4 linked regions of the Macaca mulatta genome follow. Each later gene encodes a partner of the first gene's protein in a complex. Links are inferred from orthologs where the notes say so. Each region holds a gene or a part of one and is shown in the gene's direction. Other genes may lie near its edges.

The links.
Region 2: the proteins of VEGFA (region 1) and NRP2 are in contact, whole or in part, in a crystal structure (PDB 5DN2), measured with the Homo sapiens proteins. The link is inferred for Macaca mulatta from reciprocal best matches to the Homo sapiens genes VEGFA and NRP2. Residues at the interface, in NP_003367.4 of Homo sapiens: Lys392, Pro393, Arg394, Arg395; in NP_957718.1 of Homo sapiens: Tyr299, Ser300, Asp301, Trp304, Thr319, Asp323, Ser349, Glu351, Thr352, Asn354, Tyr356, Gly417, Ile418.
Region 3: the proteins of VEGFA (region 1) and FLT1 are in contact, whole or in part, in a crystal structure (PDB 5T89), measured with the Homo sapiens proteins. The link is inferred for Macaca mulatta from reciprocal best matches to the Homo sapiens genes VEGFA and FLT1. Residues at the interface, in NP_003367.4 of Homo sapiens: Phe242, Pro246, Asp247, Ile249, Glu250, Tyr251, Ile252, Lys254, Met287, Ile289, Lys290, Pro291, His292, Gln295, Ile297; in NP_002010.2 of Homo sapiens: Ile142, Pro143, Ile145, His147, Leu221, His223, Gln225, Asn227, Asn259, Thr260, Arg261, Val262, Gln263, Met264, Ser277, Val278, Arg279, Arg280, Phe292, Tyr293, Ser315, Pro317.
Region 4: the proteins of VEGFA (region 1) and KDR are in contact, whole or in part, in a crystal structure (PDB 3V2A), measured with the Homo sapiens proteins. The link is inferred for Macaca mulatta from reciprocal best matches to the Homo sapiens genes VEGFA and KDR. Residues at the interface, in NP_003367.4 of Homo sapiens: Pro246, Asp247, Ile249, Glu250, Ile252, Lys254, Met287, Ile289, Pro291, His292, Gln295, Ile297; in NP_002244.1 of Homo sapiens: His133, Val135, Tyr137, Ile215, Val216, Val217, Val218, Val219, Gly220, Tyr221, Asn253, Gly255, Ile256, Asp257, Phe258, Val273, Asn274, Arg275, Asp276, Phe288, Ser311, Gly312, Leu313.

What each region holds. Positions count from the first base shown.
Region 1 is NC_133409.1:138,344,510-138,348,597, reverse strand, and holds the start of VEGFA (vascular endothelial growth factor A, long form), read left to right. Parts: upstream 1-1,278; 5' UTR 1,279-1,595; coding exon 1,596-2,201; intron 2,202-4,088.
Region 2 is NC_133417.1:110,938,374-110,942,540, forward strand, and holds the start of NRP2 (neuropilin-2), read left to right. Parts: upstream 1-1,346; 5' UTR 1,347-2,124; coding exon 2,125-2,197; intron 2,198-4,167.
Region 3 is NC_133422.1:8,481,202-8,485,215, reverse strand, and holds the start of FLT1 (vascular endothelial growth factor receptor 1), read left to right. Parts: upstream 1-1,183; 5' UTR 1,184-1,471; coding exon 1,472-1,535; intron 1,536-4,014. UniProt on the Homo sapiens protein: Tyrosine-protein kinase that acts as a cell-surface receptor for VEGFA, VEGFB and PGF, and plays an essential role in the development of embryonic vasculature, the regulation of angiogenesis, cell survival, cell migration, macrophage function, chemotaxis, and cancer cell invasion.
Region 4 is NC_133410.1:78,389,100-78,392,658, forward strand, and holds part of KDR (vascular endothelial growth factor receptor 2), read left to right. Parts: intron 1-1,451; coding exon 1,452-1,566; intron 1,567-1,653; coding exon 1,654-1,817; intron 1,818-3,559. UniProt on the Homo sapiens protein: Tyrosine-protein kinase that acts as a cell-surface receptor for VEGFA, VEGFC and VEGFD. Plays an essential role in the regulation of angiogenesis, vascular development, vascular permeability, and embryonic hematopoiesis.

The sequences.
Region 1 (4,088 bases):
CCCTGGCCTCAGTTCCCTGGCAACATCTGGGGTTGGGGGGGCAGCAGGAACAAGGGCCTCTGTCTGCCCAGTTGCCTCCCCCTTTGGGTTTTGCCAGACTCCACAGTGCATACGTGGGCTCCAACAGGTCCTCTTCCCTCCCAGTCACTGACTAACCCCGGAACCACACAGCTTCCCGTTCTCAGCTCCACAAACTTGGTGCCAAATTCTTCCCCCCCGGGAAGCATCCCTGGACACTTCCCAAAGGACCCCAGTCACTCCAGCCTGTTGGCTGCCGCTCACTTTGATGTCTGCGGGCCAGATGAGGGCTCCAGATGGCACATTGTCAGAGGGACACACTGTGCCCCCTGTGCCTAGCCCTGGGCTCTCTGTACATGAAGCAACTCCAGTCCCAAATATGTAGCTGTTTGGGAGGTCAGAAATAGGGGGTTCAGGAGCAAACTCCCCCCACCCCTCTGCACACCCCTCTCCAGAGCCCATTCCCTCTTTAGCCAGAGCCGGGGTGTGCAGACGGCAGTCACTAGGGGGCGCTCGGCCACCACAGGGAAGCTGGGTGAATGGAGCGAGCAGCGTCTTCGAGAGTGAGGACGTGTGTCTGTGTGGGTGAGTGTGTGCGTGTGCGTGTGCGTGTAGGGGTTGAGGGCGTTGGAGCAGGGAGAAGGCCAGGGGTCACTCCAGGATTCCAATAGATCTGTGTGTCCCTCTCCCCACCCGTCCCTGTCGGGCTGTCCGCCTTCCCCTGCCCCCTTCAATATTCCTAGCAGAGAGGGAATGGCTCTCAGGCCCTGTCCGCACGTAACCTCACTTTCCTGCTCCCTCCTCGCCAATGCCCCGCGGGCGCGTGTCTCTGGACAGAGTTTCCGGGGGCGGATGGGTAATTTTCAGGCTGTGAACCCTGGTGGGGGTCGAGCTTCCCCTTCATTGCGGCGGGCTGCGGGCCAGGCTTCGCTGGGCGTCCGCAGAGCCCGGGCCCGAGCCGCGTGTGGAGGGGCTGAGGCTCGCCTGTCCCCGCCCCCCGGGGCGGGCCGGGGGCGGGGTCCAGGCGGGGCGGAGCCAGGCACCCTCTTTTTTTAAAGTCGGCTGGTAGCGGGGAGGATCGCGGAGGTTTGGGGCAGCCGGGTAGCTCGGAGGTCGTGGCGCTGGGGGCTAGCACCAGCGCTCTGTCGGGAGGCGCAGCGGCTAGGTGGACCGGTCAGCGGACTCACCCGCCAGGGCGCTCCGTGCTGGAATTTGATATTCATTGATCCGGGGTTTATCCCTCTTCTTTTTTCTTAAACATTTTTTTTTTTAAACTGTATTGTTTCCCGTTTTAATTTATTTTTGCTTGCCATTCCCCACTTGAATCGGGCCGACGGCTTGGGGAGATTGCTTTACTTCCCCAAATCACTGTGGATTTTGGAAACCAGCAGAAAGAGGAAAGAGGTAGCAAGAGCTCCAGAGAGAAGTCGAGGAAGAGAGAGACGGGGTCAGAGAGAGCGCGCGGGCGTGCGAGCAGCGAGAGGGACAGGGGCAAAGTGAGTGACCTGCTTTTGGGGGTGACCGCCGGAGCGCGGCGTGAGCCCTCCCCCTTGGGATCCCGCAGCGGACCAGTAGCGCTGACGGACAGACAGACAGACACCGCCCCCAGCCCCAGCGCCCACCTCCTCCCCGGCCGGCGGCCGACAGTGGACGCGGCGGCGAGCCGCGGGCAGGGGCCGGAGCCCGCGCCCGGAGGCGGGGTGGAGGGGGTCGGGGCTCGCGGCGTCGCACTGAAACTTTTCGTCCAACTTCTGGGCTGTTCTCGCTTCGGAGGAGCCGTGGTCCGCGCCGGGGAAGCCGAGCCGAGCGGAGCCGCGAGAAGTGCTAGCTCGGGCCGGGAGGAGCCGCAGCCGGAGGAGGGGGAGGAGGAAGAAGAGAAGGAAGAAGAGAGGGGGCCGCGGTGGCGACTCGGCGCTTGGAAGCCGGGCTCATGGACGGGTGAGGCGGCGGTGTGCGCAGACAGTGCTCCAGCCGCGCGCGCGCCCCAGGCCCTGGCCCGGGCCTCGGCCCGGGGAGGAAGAGGAGCTCGCCGAGGCGCCGAAGAGAGCGGGCCGCCCCACAGCCCGAGCCGGAGAGGGAGCGCGAGCCGTGCCGGCCCCGGTCGGGCCTCCGAAACCATGAACTTTCTGCTCTCTTGGGTGCATTGGAGCCTTGCCTTGCTGCTGTACCTCCACCATGCCAAGGTAAGTGGTCGTGCCCGGCTGGCGCCGCGGGCAGCTGCGAGCGCCTCTCCCGGCTGGGGACGTGCGTGCGAGCGCGCGCGTGGGGGCTCCGTGCCCCACGCGGGTCCATGGGCACCAGGCGCGCGGCGTCCCCCTCTGTCGTCTTAGGTGCAGGGGGAGGGGGCGCGCGCTAGGTGGGAGGGCACCCGGAGAGAGGCTCACCGCCCACGCGGGCCCTGCCCACCCACCGGAGTCACCGCACGTACGATCTGGGCCGACCAGCCGAGGGCGGGAGCCGGAGGAGGAGGCCGAGGGGGCTGGGCTTGCGTTGCCGCTGCCGGCTGAAGTTTGCTCCCGGCCGCTGGTCCCAGACGAACTGGAAGTCCGGGCAGCGGGGGCGGGAGCCAGAGACCAGCCGGCAGGGGGGTGCTCGGACCTTGGACCGCCGGAGGGCAGAGAGCGTGGAGGGGGCAGGGCGCAGGAGGGAGAGGGGGCTTGCTGTCACTGCCCCTCGGTCTCTTCGGCCCTCGCCGCGAGTTGGGGAAAAGTTTTGGGGTAGATTGCGGCGGGGACCCCCCCTCCCTGCTGGGCCACCTGCGCCGCGCCAACCCCGCCCGTCTCCGCTCGCGTCCCGCTCGGTGCCCGCCCTCCCCCGCCCGGCCGGGTGCGCGCGGCGCGGAGCCGATTACATCAGCCCGGGCCTGGCCGGCCGCGTGTTCCCGGAGCCTCGGCTGCCCGAATGGGGAGCCCAGAGTGGCGAGCGGCACCCCTCCCCCCGCCACCCCTCCGCGGGAAGGTGACTTCGCGAGGTAGCCCCAGCCCGGGGATCCGAAGAACCATCCCTACCCCTTCCTACTGTCTCCAGACCCTACCCCTGCCCAGTGCTAGGAGGAATTTCCTGACGCCCCTTCTCTTTACCCATTTCCTTTCTATCGTGGAGAGAAAGCCCTGTCACCCCTTTTATTTTCATTCCTCTCTGCGGAGAAGATCCATCTAACCCCTTTCTGGCCCCAGAGTCCAGGGAAAGGATGATCACTGTCAGAAGTCGTGGCGCGGGAGCCCACCGGGCGCTTTGTCACACTCCACCGAAAGTCCCGACTTGGTGACAGTGTGCTTCCCTTCCCTCCACAACAGTTCCGAGTGAGCTGTGCTTTAACTCTCTGGGGGTGGGTCAAGGGAGGGTTTGAAGAGAGTCATTGCCCCACTTTACCCTTTTGGAGAAATGGCTTGAAATTTGCTGTGACACGGGCAGCATGGGAATAGTTCTTCGTGAACCCTGGAAAGGAGCTCCTGCCAGCCTTGCACACACTTTGTCCTGGTGGAAGGCAGCGCTGGAGCAGGTGGTTTTTTGGAACTCCAAACTTGCCCACCCAACTTGCTTCTGCTTAAAGCCACCTAAAGGGTCCCTTTCCGCTCCTCCCTGACGCCTTCCCTCAGCCAGAATTCCCTTGGAGAGAAGGCACGAGGAAAGCTATGGACAGGGGTCGCTGCTAACAACACAAGTTCCTCAGACCCTGGCACAAAGGCCTTGGCTACAGGCCTCCAAGTAGGGAGGAGGGGGAGGAGTGGCTGCCTGGCCACAGTATGACCTTCAGAGGCCCCCAGAGAAGGACACCTGGCCCCTGTCTGCCCAGAACCGCCCCTCCTGTGCCCCCTGGCCTTGGAAGGGGTACGAAATTTCTGTCCCCTTTCCTCGTTCGGGCCCAGGAGGAGTGGAGGGTCCAGGGAGAATATTGTCAGGGGGAAGGCAGGGGGTGTCATGGGAATGGGTGAGGGGCTGAGGTACAGAATCCAGGGGGTCCCTGGAGGAGCCGCAGTGGGAAGCTGACCAGCTGGAAACCTGGGAACTGTTTTCTCTTGAGAGGGGCTTCCTCTGACCTTGGCTGTCCTGGGACCAGGGCTGGGGGA
Region 2 (4,167 bases), on another chromosome or scaffold:
TTTTCAAACACGAAAAGTGATAAACAAAGCTAATGGGCAAGTCCAGATAAGGAGGGAAACCACGCAGAAGAATCCACAAGTGCAAGCCAAGAAGAAAATGGGACAGTCAGGTGTGTGTTCCTTGTCACTGAAACTGTATTTTTCTTAATCTACGGAAAATTTTACTTTCTTAATTAAAAAAAATCTTAATCTGTAAACAGTTTTCTGAATGTTCTTATTTTTCATATACCTCTTTTGTGGCAGAAAAGGTGTACATGTGCAGGGTGTAATTTAGGCTGTTTCTGTGGGAGTCTTTATGATAATGTAGTAATAGGTGTCTGGTGAAGCAAGACAGTTTGGAATCCACAAAGCCATCCTCAGAAACAAAGATACAAGTGTTTCCCCAACTGTTAGTTTGCAGTTCCCTCTAAACAGTTTTCACGCCTCCATTTAAAAATAGTTGGCATAATGCTGTTTTCTTTCTCTGGGCTTTGTGACCACGTTTCTATGGGGGAAAATGTGAATAGACGTAGTTACAGTAGCATTTGGATGAGAAGCCTTCAAGCACCCATACTTTTTCGGGGGGACTTGAGGGAATCCAATTTAATTACCTGAAGAAATCCTTTGCTGAAGAAAGTCTTTCCTCTTTTTAGGATAGTTACAAGTTAAAAGCGCAGGGATAACGAAATCCTAACCCAGAGAGGAGCAGAGCATGTTTGGGACATAACAAAGGATCTGAGTAGTAAACGCAGCGAGTGTTTGGGGTTTTATTCAGCCCGGGCTGACGGTGTGTGTCGCCGCCACGCACCGCTGCCTGTTCGAACGCATGGCTGAGCTGCCGACCGGCTTGCTACCCCAAACACCGTACGCCACCCAACTCCTCTTGTAACGCCATTGCGCGTGGCATTGTGTTGGATTCTGCGTGTGTGGCATCGGAGTCGTGGAATTTAGGGGGAACAAGGCTTCCCCCCCTTCCCCCGGGGTCTCCCTCGGGTGGGGGCGACACGGCCAAGGGCAGCGCGCCCTGGAGGTGCCGGGGGGCGCTTCTTCCCCAGGGCGTTACGCACTGGAGGCCCGGCGCGGAGGTGCGCGGGGGCGATCGGGAGATGCGGGGCGGGCGAGGGGCTGTGGGGTAGGCGCCGCCTTAACTTCGATCCTGCGGCGGCCCGGGAGAAGCTGCCGCCGCCCCGCCCGAGGTGGGTGCCGCGGCACTCGGCTCTGCGCCGCGCGTCTCCGCGGCTGCCTCTTTAATCAGGAACACAGAAGGGGCGGGCCCTGAGCCGGCGCGTAATCGGATAGCTCTGCCGCGGCTCTGACATCCACATGCTGCTCGGCCTGAAAAGGCAGTGGGGAGCCGGAGGGGAGGCAGAGATCACGAGCGAGGCACCAGCCTGCAGCCGGCCCCCAGCACATCCTCAGCCGCGCAGACACTGGGCGAGGTGGAGGTGAGGGCGGGCGCCAGCGAACTCGGAGAGGGGCTCGCTCACTCCCAGGCGATCCCAGCCGCCGCACCACCAGCAGCAACAGCAGCAGCAGCTTCCTTTCTCAGACTCCCCTCGAGAGGCTGGCCAAGCGGGTGTAGCCGCCGGTGGAGGCTCCCGCCGGGGGAACCCGGCGAGGACAAGAGCAGGGCGGCCGCCTTCCACTCCGGCTGTCCAGCGGCTGCTGCCTCTGCCCGCGTGTCCGTCAAGGGTGCCGCGGGATGTGTGTCAATTTACGCCTCTGAGATCACACAGCTGCCTGGGGGCCGTGTGATGCCCAAGGCAAGTCTTGGCTTTAATTATTATTATTATCATTATTGTTACGCTTGGCTTTCGGGAAATACTCGTGATATTGTAGGATAAAGGAAATGACACTTTGAGGAACTGGAGAGAACATACATGCGTTTTGTTTTTGAGAGGAAAGCCGTGTCCTCTTCCCGGCTTGTTCCCTCTTTGCTGATTTCAGGAGCTACTCTCCTCCTGGTGAGGTGGAAATTCCAGCAAGAATAAAGGTGAAGACAAGCCACCAGGACTCAGGAGGGAAACACTGACCATTAGAAACCTCTGCATAAGACGTTGTACGGAAGAAAATAAGAGAGAAAAACACAAAGATTTAAACAAGAAACCTACGAACCCAGCTCTGGAGAGAGCCACCTTCTCCAAAATGGATATGTTTCCTCTCACCTGGGTTTTCTTAGCCCTCTACTTTTCAAGACACCAAGTGAGAGGCCAACCAGGTAAGCCACTGAAAGTTTTTTCTATTTATTGCAACATGGTTTCCCCTTTAAAAGCGACCGCTAAAGCAGGAAGGCCACGCAGAAAGGCACAGAAGGAGGCTCCCTCAGTACTCAATAATTTAAAGAGAGATCCCGGCCGGCCCTTCCTACACCACCACTGTTGCTAAAACCCAACTTTTCTCTCCTGCTAGGAGTGTGTGTGTGTGTGTGTGTGTGTGTGTGTGTGTGTGTGTGTGTTTTGAAACAGAATTTGGCGGTGTTCAGATGTCACATATGGACTGAATCAAAGGTTTAAAAATACTACAAAGCCTTTGCATTACAGTTTTTGGGAATTTTTTTTCCCTGTCTTGAAGCAGAACACATCTCCCTTGAGTTTCTCCAACCAGCCAGTGCAATATAAATCATTTGCATTCCCTCCACTTAGCTACATGGAGCAATGTTCACTGAAGGGCTTGGGAAAGACAAGAGTTTCGTTTTGGTTTTCAAATGCTGTCGATTCTTTGGAGAATGGCTGGTTATGCCTCAGAATCATAGGGCTCAGGCTGGTGGAGCAAGTTGGCTTGTGGCTGAGATAGGGGCTTGGGGTTGGGCACTGCTGGCAACCAAGACAGTTGGTCTCTTCTCTCTTCATCCATGTGTCGTCTGGGAAAGTAAATCATATGTTCTTTTAGAAATTCTTATTAGCTAAAACAAATTGCAGGCCCTCAAAGGTCTCTCACTCGTGGTTAGAAACTTTTGAGTGGAATTTGTTCTCAACCACTGCCAAAAAGGGTGTGTGGACAGGCTGCTGTGGAGATGAGCACTTCGAGGCCCAGAACAGTCTGGGGACCGCATTTGTGGGGAGCGGCAAGGCTCTGGAAAGGGGAATCCATGGGGAATGCAGTGGGGTTTGTGCTTCCTTCCTGGGACCACTCTCTAGAGTGAGCCTCTCTACCTCACTGAGAACAGTGTCTGGAATCTGACAACAAAACTCTTAGCAGCTGCTACAGGTGACTGGAGATGGAGAAACCATCTATGGAGGAAACGGGTGAAAGAAAGGCGAAAAAGCCTTCCCGAAGTGCCCTCACCCAAGGCACTTGCAAGGTGATGGCGGCAGTGGCAGGGCTAACTCTGCAGCCTCCTGGGCATCCCCCAGAACATCAGCTAGTGGGTCCTAGCTTTGCATCTGGTACTGTCACCCTTCCTTCTCTCCACGCCCCCCATCCAGCACACGCACCACTTAAAGCTTGGGCATTTATTTGAAGGGGGAAGAAAATTCAGAAATGCCTTTGCCATTTCTTTGGCAAAGAAATGGTTTGCAGCTCTTTCTTTGCCATAAGTGGTCTTCAGGGCAGCTGCAAATCCTATCAAAGGGATGGGTGGGGGGTCCCACTTGGGGAGATTTTCTGGGCCTCCCCCATTCCTTCTTGCCTTATTTCTAAATTCCCAGCTTGAAGCGGAAATAAATTACCTCTCACAGACCTGGATGCTGCGTAAATTATGTATGTTTGTGTGATTCGCAGTGTATGTGTGCACACGCGCGCGCGCCATGAGGATGCCCACAGTATATTATGTATTCAGACACGGACTCCGGTAGGCCCCAGCGCGCGAGCGCGCACACACTGGCACTCACACCGGCGCGCACACACATGCAACTTCAGGTTCCGTGTGCTGTGCGGAGCGGGAGGGGTCGTGAAGACTCAGGGGCCATCTCCTACCCCAGATGTTCGCACATCTGTCCCCGAGCGCTGCTTGGAGTGTGTGTACGTGTGTGCGCGACACCCGCTTGGACCCACTCCCGCTCTGCCACCTGCCTCCCGCGCTCACTGCAGAACCCCCTCCCATCCCAACCCCCGGCAGTGCTGCGTCACTTCCAGAGAAGCCCAGAGGCGCGGAGTTCGGGGCAACCTCGGACTCGGGGTGGGATCTCAGGGTGGGATTCGAAGCTGGGACCTGCCGGGGACCTCCAGCTCCCCAAAATGCGATCTCAA
Region 3 (4,014 bases), on another chromosome or scaffold:
GTTGCCCAACCTTCCCAGGCGGGGAGGTAGTCCAGTCCTTCAGGAAGAGTCGCTGGCTCCGTTCAAGTGCCATCACAGCCCCTTGTATTATGTCCCTCTGACGGGTTCCAAGAGGGCTATTTTTCAAACCTGCGGTATTTACAGAGACAAGACTGGGCTGCTCCGTGCAGCCCAGGACGATTTCAGCCTTTGAGGTAATGGAGACATAATTGAGGAACAACGTGGAATTAGTGTCATAGCAAATGATCTAGTGCCTCAAGTTAATTTCACCCGGTTGTGGTCAGAGTCACTCATCTTGAGTAGCAAGCTGCCACCAGAAAGATTTCTTTTTCGAGCATTTAGGAAATAAAGTTCAAGTGCTGTGCGCTTCCAAGTTGCAGGAGCAGTTTCACGCCTCAGCTTTTTAAAGGTATCATAATGTTATTCCTTGTTTTGCTTCTAGGAAGCAGAAGATTGAGGAAATGACTTGGGCGGGTGCATCAATGCGACCGAAAAAGACACGGACGCGCTCCCCTGGGACCTGAGCTGTTTCGCAGTCTTCCCAAAGGTGCCAGGCAAGCGTCAGTTCCCCTCAGGCGCTCCAGGTTCAGTGCCTTGTGCCGAGGGTCTCTGGTGCCTTCCTAGACTTCTCGGGACAGTCTGACGGGGTCAGAAGCGGCGGGACAGCGCGGGAAGAGCAGGCAAGGGGAGACAGCCGGACTGCGCCTCAGTCCTCGGTGCCAAGAACACCGTCGCGGAGGCGCGGCCAGCTTCCCTTGGATCGGACTTTCCGCCCCTAGGGCCGGGCGGCGGAGCTTCAGCCTTGTCCCTTCCCCAGTTTCGGGCGGCCCCCAGAGCTGAGTAAGCCGGGTGGAGGGAGTCTGCAAGGATTTCCTGAGCGCGATGGGCAGGAGGAGGGGCAAGGGCAAGAGGGCGCGGAGCAAAGACCCTGAACCTGCCGGGGCCGCGCTCCCGGGCCCGCGTCGCCAGCACCTCCCCACGCGCGCTCGGCCCCGGGCCACCCGCCCTCGTCGGCCCCCGCCCCTCTCCGTAGCCGCAGGGAAGCGAGCTTGGGAGGAAGAAGAGGGTAGGTGGGGAGGCGGATGAGGGGTGGGGGACCCCTTGACGTCACCAGAAGGAGGTGCCGGGGTAGGAAGTGGGCTGGGGAAAGGTTATAAATCGCCCCCGCCCTCGGCTCCTCTTCATCGAGGTCCGCGGGAGGCTCGGAGCGCGCCAGGCGGACACTCCTCTCCGCTCCTCCCAAGCAGCGGCGGCGGCTCGGAGCGGGCTCCGGGACTCAGGCGCAGCGGCCAGCGGGCGCCTGGCGGCGAGGATTACCCGGGGAAGTGGTTGTCTCCTGGCTGGAGCCGCGAGACGGGCGCTCGGGGCGCGGGTCCGGCGGCGGCGGAGAACAAGAGGAAGGACTTGGGCGGCCGGGTCGTTGGCCGCGGGGAGCGCGGGCACCGGGCGAGCAGGCCGCGTCGCACTCACCATGGTCTTCTGCTGGGACACCGGGGTCCTGCTGTGCGCGCTGCTAGGCTGTCTGCTTCTCACAGGTGAGGCGCGGCCGGGGGCCGGGGCCTGAGGCAGGCTGCGATGGGGCGGCCGGAGGGCAGAGCCTCCGAGGCCAGGGTCGGGTGCACGCGGGGAGACAGGGCTGCAGCCCCGAGAAGCTGGCTACGGCGAGAACCTGGGACACTAGTTGCAGCGGGCACGCTTGGGGCCGCTGCGCCCTTTTTCCGAGGGAGCGCCTCGGGGAGTGGCTGGCCTGGACCCGCGAGCATCAGCGCTCAGACGGGGTCCGCGCTGGGGCTGTCCGTTTGCGACAGGGTTGCCGATCCCTTATGCAGCTGTTGGGTTGGGGTCTCACTGCCGAGGCCCCGGGCACTAGGAGCCCCACGCACCTGGACCTGCCTGGCACCCAGAGCCCGCTCCCAGGCGGCCTGGCGCAGATACACGGGGTCGCCTGGAGCCGGGAGCAGAGGCTCCTGAATGCCTGCCAGGCTGCCCAGGGCGGCGCTGGGCTGAGGCCGGGGCGTTGGTGATATTGGGCACCGGCCGCGACCTCGCGCCACGAGAGTGAAGGAGGGGAGCCGATTTGGAGGAGACGCGTGCCTGCGGGGAGCAGGAGGAACGCAAGAGAGGGCCAGGGCCGGCATCTCATGACCCGCTAGGGCCGCCGAGCCGCACTGTCCCGGGGAACGCGCGGTGAGCGTCCGCTCCTCCCAGCCGCGCGCGGACCGCGGGGCCCCAGTGCGCTGCGCTCAGCCACCGGGTGGGGCCTCTGCCGGGAGCAGGCGGGGTGCGCGGTCCAGCCAGTGTCGCCGACATCAGTGACCCTGACCGACGAGGGCAGCCCAGGGCCCAAATACTGTTAAGTTACTGACTTAATAAGCCTAGCCTTTAAAATCCCAGCGAAGAGAGGGCGGGCGATTTTGACCAAACGATGCGGTTTGAGGAATCGGTAAGGTCCGCCCGCCACCTAAGTCAGCCTTCGCTGGGCGTTTGGAAGACGGGCGGTGGAACCGTCAGGGGCTGGGGGTTTTACCAGCAGTTAGACCGCCGCCATCGAGGGGTCAAAGCCCCAAGGAACTTGAGGGTTCGGACTCGCAGCCTCTGCTCAGTGGGGCTGAGTGGCGGAGCCTTGTGCCTCGTTCCCCTGGGCGCAGAGAGCCAGATTTCGGAGCGCCTTTCTTTTAAGCATCGTGGAGAAAAGGTAAAATATGTAATAAAATACAGTAGTATAAAATAAATCATTGCAATGATTCCCGGGAGGAAAAGTCAATAAGATGGAGCATATTAAAACCACCACCACAACAAAAAAAAGCTTGTTAAACCTAAAAAGCAGTAATAGTTAAATATTCTTTCTCAGTGGGAAGACTAACTAGAAGGTCAGTTTCCAAGTAACAAGTAATAGTTCCAGTTAGATTGGTGAAACTACTGAACCCGGAGACAGGGCGAAGTAGTAACTTCTGAGAACTCACTGTAGGTTGGGAAAGATGCTAACATAACTCTATTAAATAAAATGTTGTATTTTCTATTTCACAAATACATTTTTTGTTTTGAAAAGTCACTTGTATTAAAATATAATTGCTTAGAGAATTTAAATACCTCACTCGACTATTATGTAAAGATAAATCTAGGTAAATTACATGAATCTAAAATTATGGAGGGAAAAGTATGTGATTTATTAGTTTTTCTACTTCACATAGATATATCTTTATTTCAAAAACATGCTGACTTTAGTGAAGCATCGTTTTGTTTGTAATTGGGACCATCTTAGTTCGGTGGAAACTTTACAGAAACGTGAGTGGGATCCTCTTGTGATTTTTCTTAGATTATAATTTACTGAAATGGGGCAGCAGTTTTCGAACTCTGATTTTGTTTTGTTTTGTTTTGTTTTTTTTTTGCACTTTTTTGGAAGAAAGGACTAACATTGGCAAGGTGAGAGCCTCTTTACCTGACAGTTAACAGAATACTCTGTTAGCTCATGTTAGCTCAGTCTGCAGCGTAGGTGCTTTTGAAAACCCATAGTTTCTCTGTCTGGTTAACAAACATCTCACAGTAAAACCATCAGCTACCACCTACTTTACAAACCGCATCAGGGCTTTCATGCTCAACTGAGGGGCTGCATATCCGGGAAGCAATGTCTAGTAAGAAGCCACATTTCCGCCCTGCAGAATTCTCTTGCATCATTATGAACCTGGGTCTGCTTTCCTTCAGGTGCTATGTAATCTTTGAATACTTATCAGCTATTAATATTGTGTGTGTGTGTGCATGCCTGGTGTGCACATGCATTGAGATGTAAAATAACCAGAGGCTCAGTAATACAAAAAGATAATGCCTTTCCCCTCTAAAGAGTTTATTTACCTCTTCCAGATCTTCTGGGAAATAAAAAGATGCTAATAATTCAGATACTTTCAAGTCCTCTCTATTGCTCTTTCTCTGTAAAGGATACCAGTACTCTTTCTCCAGCTCTGAGCCTCATTTCCTACTTTTAAGGTATCACAGCCTGGATGAAAGCTACAGATCTTT
Region 4 (3,559 bases), on another chromosome or scaffold:
GAGGTGGAAGAAAATCTGCTTATAAGTGGACTCATGTAGTTCAAATTTATGTTGTTTAAGGGTCAACTGTAATTGAACTGGAATTAAATTGAACTGGCTTTGAGTAAATCACCTTAATTTTTTGTTAATTCTCTTTCATTTACATAAATGTCTGAGTTTACATGGTAATTTGTGTGGCATCCTACTTATAAGCCTTGGAAAGGATTTTGGATTTTATATCATGAGAATGCATCAGTAAAGTGGAATTGTAAAAATACCTTAGATAATACTATTTATTAGAGTTGTAATCATAAAAGTGGCAACAACTACAACAAGTATGATTTAGTGAGCCCTTACTTTATTAGCTCATCTCATCTTAGTAGTTGAGATTGGAACTCAAGTTCCTGACTACAAAGCTATGCTCTTGACCTCTAGGTCATGTGGCCTCCCTAGCAAGAACTTGAAAGTTTCTTCTGAATGAACAAAATAGAAATCACTAAGTGTCCTAAATTTATTCAAATTATTTCACTTGCCAAGATGCACTTGCCAAAATACACAGAGAGAGACGTGCTCTGGCTTATGTTTTGATAGAAGTACTCTTGTTCTCCAGGATACTTCAGGGAAATAGGGGCAGAAACAAGGAGGTTAGTTGGGAGGCTAATTACGTTTATCCAGGTGAGAGTTGAGGAGTGGCTTGGACAAGGGTAGTTGAGGTAGAGATAGTGAGAAGTGATCTGCTTCTGGATATATTTCAAAGGTAGAGTCAACAGGGTCTGCTGATCAATTCACTGGTTGTGGAGTATAAGGGAAAAAGAGTGGAAGATGACCCAAGTGTTAGCATGAGCAACTGAGTAAATGGTGGTGGTATTTACTGAGATGGCAAAGATCGAGGAGGCAGTGAAATTTAGGGAAACAGTGTTAGATATGTTTCTCTGGAGATGCCTATGAAACATCCAAGTGGAAATGTTTAATATATCAACCTGGAACCCAGAGGAGTCAGGGCAGAAGGCACATATTTAGGAGGTATGTGAATGCTACTTTAAACTTGAGGCTAGAGGAAGGTGTAAATAAAGAGGACGTCTGAAGACTGAGTCCTCGGGCCTATTAACACATGGTGGAAGAGGTGTGTGGAGTGTGTCTTGGGAGCAGAGGAGAAGGAGCACCCAAGCATCTCTGGGGGACTTAGAGAAAGCTGCACAGAGGAGCAAGTGTTTGAGTTGAGACTTGAGCAATCACTAGGCTTATGGGAGTGCACTAGTGGGGAGAGAAAAGCAAATGCAAGCACAGGAGGTGTGGGAGAAACACGGGAGGTGTGGGAGAAGCTGAAATGTGACCCACTAAAAGGTAGTACATGGAATCTTGGAACTGCAGCTACTCAGACCCTCAATGTTTTTGATGTTTCACTTGAAATGAAAAACTAAACCAAACGACCATTTACAATAAGCTGACCTTTAAAAAAAAATTTCTTGCAGAAAAACCTTTTGTTGCTTTTGGAAGTGGCATGGAATCTCTGGTGGAAGCCACGGTGGGGGAGCGTGTCAGAATCCCTGTGAAGTACCTTGGTTACCCGCCCCCAGAAATAAAATGGTAACTACTAGAAATAAACACAAAGCATCATTTCATGTGAGAGCAAATCCTTCGACTGTACTAATTCCTGAGAATTCTTTTTCATAGGTATAAAAATGGAATACCCCTTGAGTCCAATCACACAGTTAAAGTGGGGCACGTACTGACGATCATGGAAGTGAGCGAAAGAGACACAGGAAATTACACTGTCATCCTTACCAATCCCATTTCAAAGGAGAAGCAGAGTCACGTGGTCTCTCTGGTTGTGTATGGTGAGTCCATTCAGTTTTCCTCTCTGCCCAAGATTTATTATGATACATTGTCTTCCTAATCAGCCAGGCCACCATTCCTCTGCCTCCAGCTGCTTCACTCACATCATGGCCGGGCCTATGTACAAAAGTCATCTGGGGTGGTGAAGCTGAAGTGAAATGTAGGACTGTGTGCTCTGGCCATGTTTGTTTAAGAGGCCATGTAAATGAGCTTTGTGGTGGTCAAATGCAAGATTAAAGTAGTGATACCCTCGATAGTTTAAATGTTGTGAAAAAATAATGCCCACAGGGATAGTTGTCAAGTTAAGTTATACTACAATGTTCCCCTCTCATGGAATTGCCCACCTGGCACACAGATGTGTAAGACCCTTCTCCTTAGATTTTGTGCAAAGCTTCTAGTTTGATATTATAGTTGATGTATCAGTGAGGTACAGGCAGATTCCTACTCTGAAGGCTTTTGAAGTTGGCATTGTTGGCTTGGTTGGGGGCTTTTTTTTTCCTTTTTGACAGGAGTTCAGGGTCTGATTTTGAGTCTGTAAAGGCAAAATAGTACGTTTTTGATTTAAAGATGATTTGAACTTTGTTTTCTGAAACTGAAAGGTACAAATAAGTGTTTGGAATGGAATGGTGAGAAGGGTGCCATGGTCAAGTGAGTGTGAGGTGCTAAGGTGATGTGTAGATGTGTAACAGGTTTCTTTATTACAGGGACTTCTCAGAACCTTTTATATACTAATGTATATTGGTATTCTCTAGGGGGAGAGACATAGAGTATTCAAGGTTTAACAAACCTATTTGACTGGAGCATCGTTTTTCCCCTGAGCAAATTCATTAATCTCTCACTCCAAACAGTTTGAGAAATGCTTCTCTGTTGTAATTCTTTGTTCCCCCTTCTGGTATGGCATATTAAAACTTCAGGATATTTTCCCATGGCATTAAGGTGCTTCCCTATGTGTCCTAATACTCTTCTGTAGGCTGCTGAACTTGGCGTTATTTTTTTTTTCAGGGAATATTTTAAAGATAGGTTGGGCATGGTGGTTCGCATTCGTAATCCCAGCACTTTGGGAGGCCGAGGCGGATGGATCACCTGAGGTCAGAAGTTTGAGATCAGCCTGGCCAACGTGATGAAATCCCGTCTCTACTAAAAATGCAAAAATTAGCCAGGCATGATGGTGGGCGCCTGTAATCCCAGCTACTTGGGAGGCTGAGGCAGGAGAATCACTTGAACCCAGGAGGTGGAGGTTGCAGTGAGCTGAGATTGTACTCCAGCCTGGGCGACAAGAGCAAAACTCCGTCTCAAAAAAAAAAAAAAAACAAGATAACAGGTTCCACAGAGGTTGTTCAGAAGCAGCATAGGTGTAGGGGACTGGGGAGAGGAGAAACTGGAAAGTGTATAAGTAGGATGGGAGGAGAAAATGAACGGGAAATAAAAACAAAACATGGACAGCAAATAGCCCATTTCATCAGTTCATGAAGCCACTAAATATTCTATTCACTTTAGCATATACTCTGCTATGTGAAATAAACATAAAAAAGAAGTCAAGTCTTGAAAGCATAACCTGAGGCTTTAAGTTGACAGTAGTAACGAAATAGTTTTGACTTTGGAGTCAAAAAAGAAAGAAAGGAAAAAGGGAGAGAAGAAAGAAGGAAGTGAGAGAAGGGAGAAGGAAGAAAGGGGAAGAGGGAAAGGGAGTGGAGAGGGAGGGAGGGAGGAAGAGGGAGAGGGAATGAAAGACTCAGATGGTGGT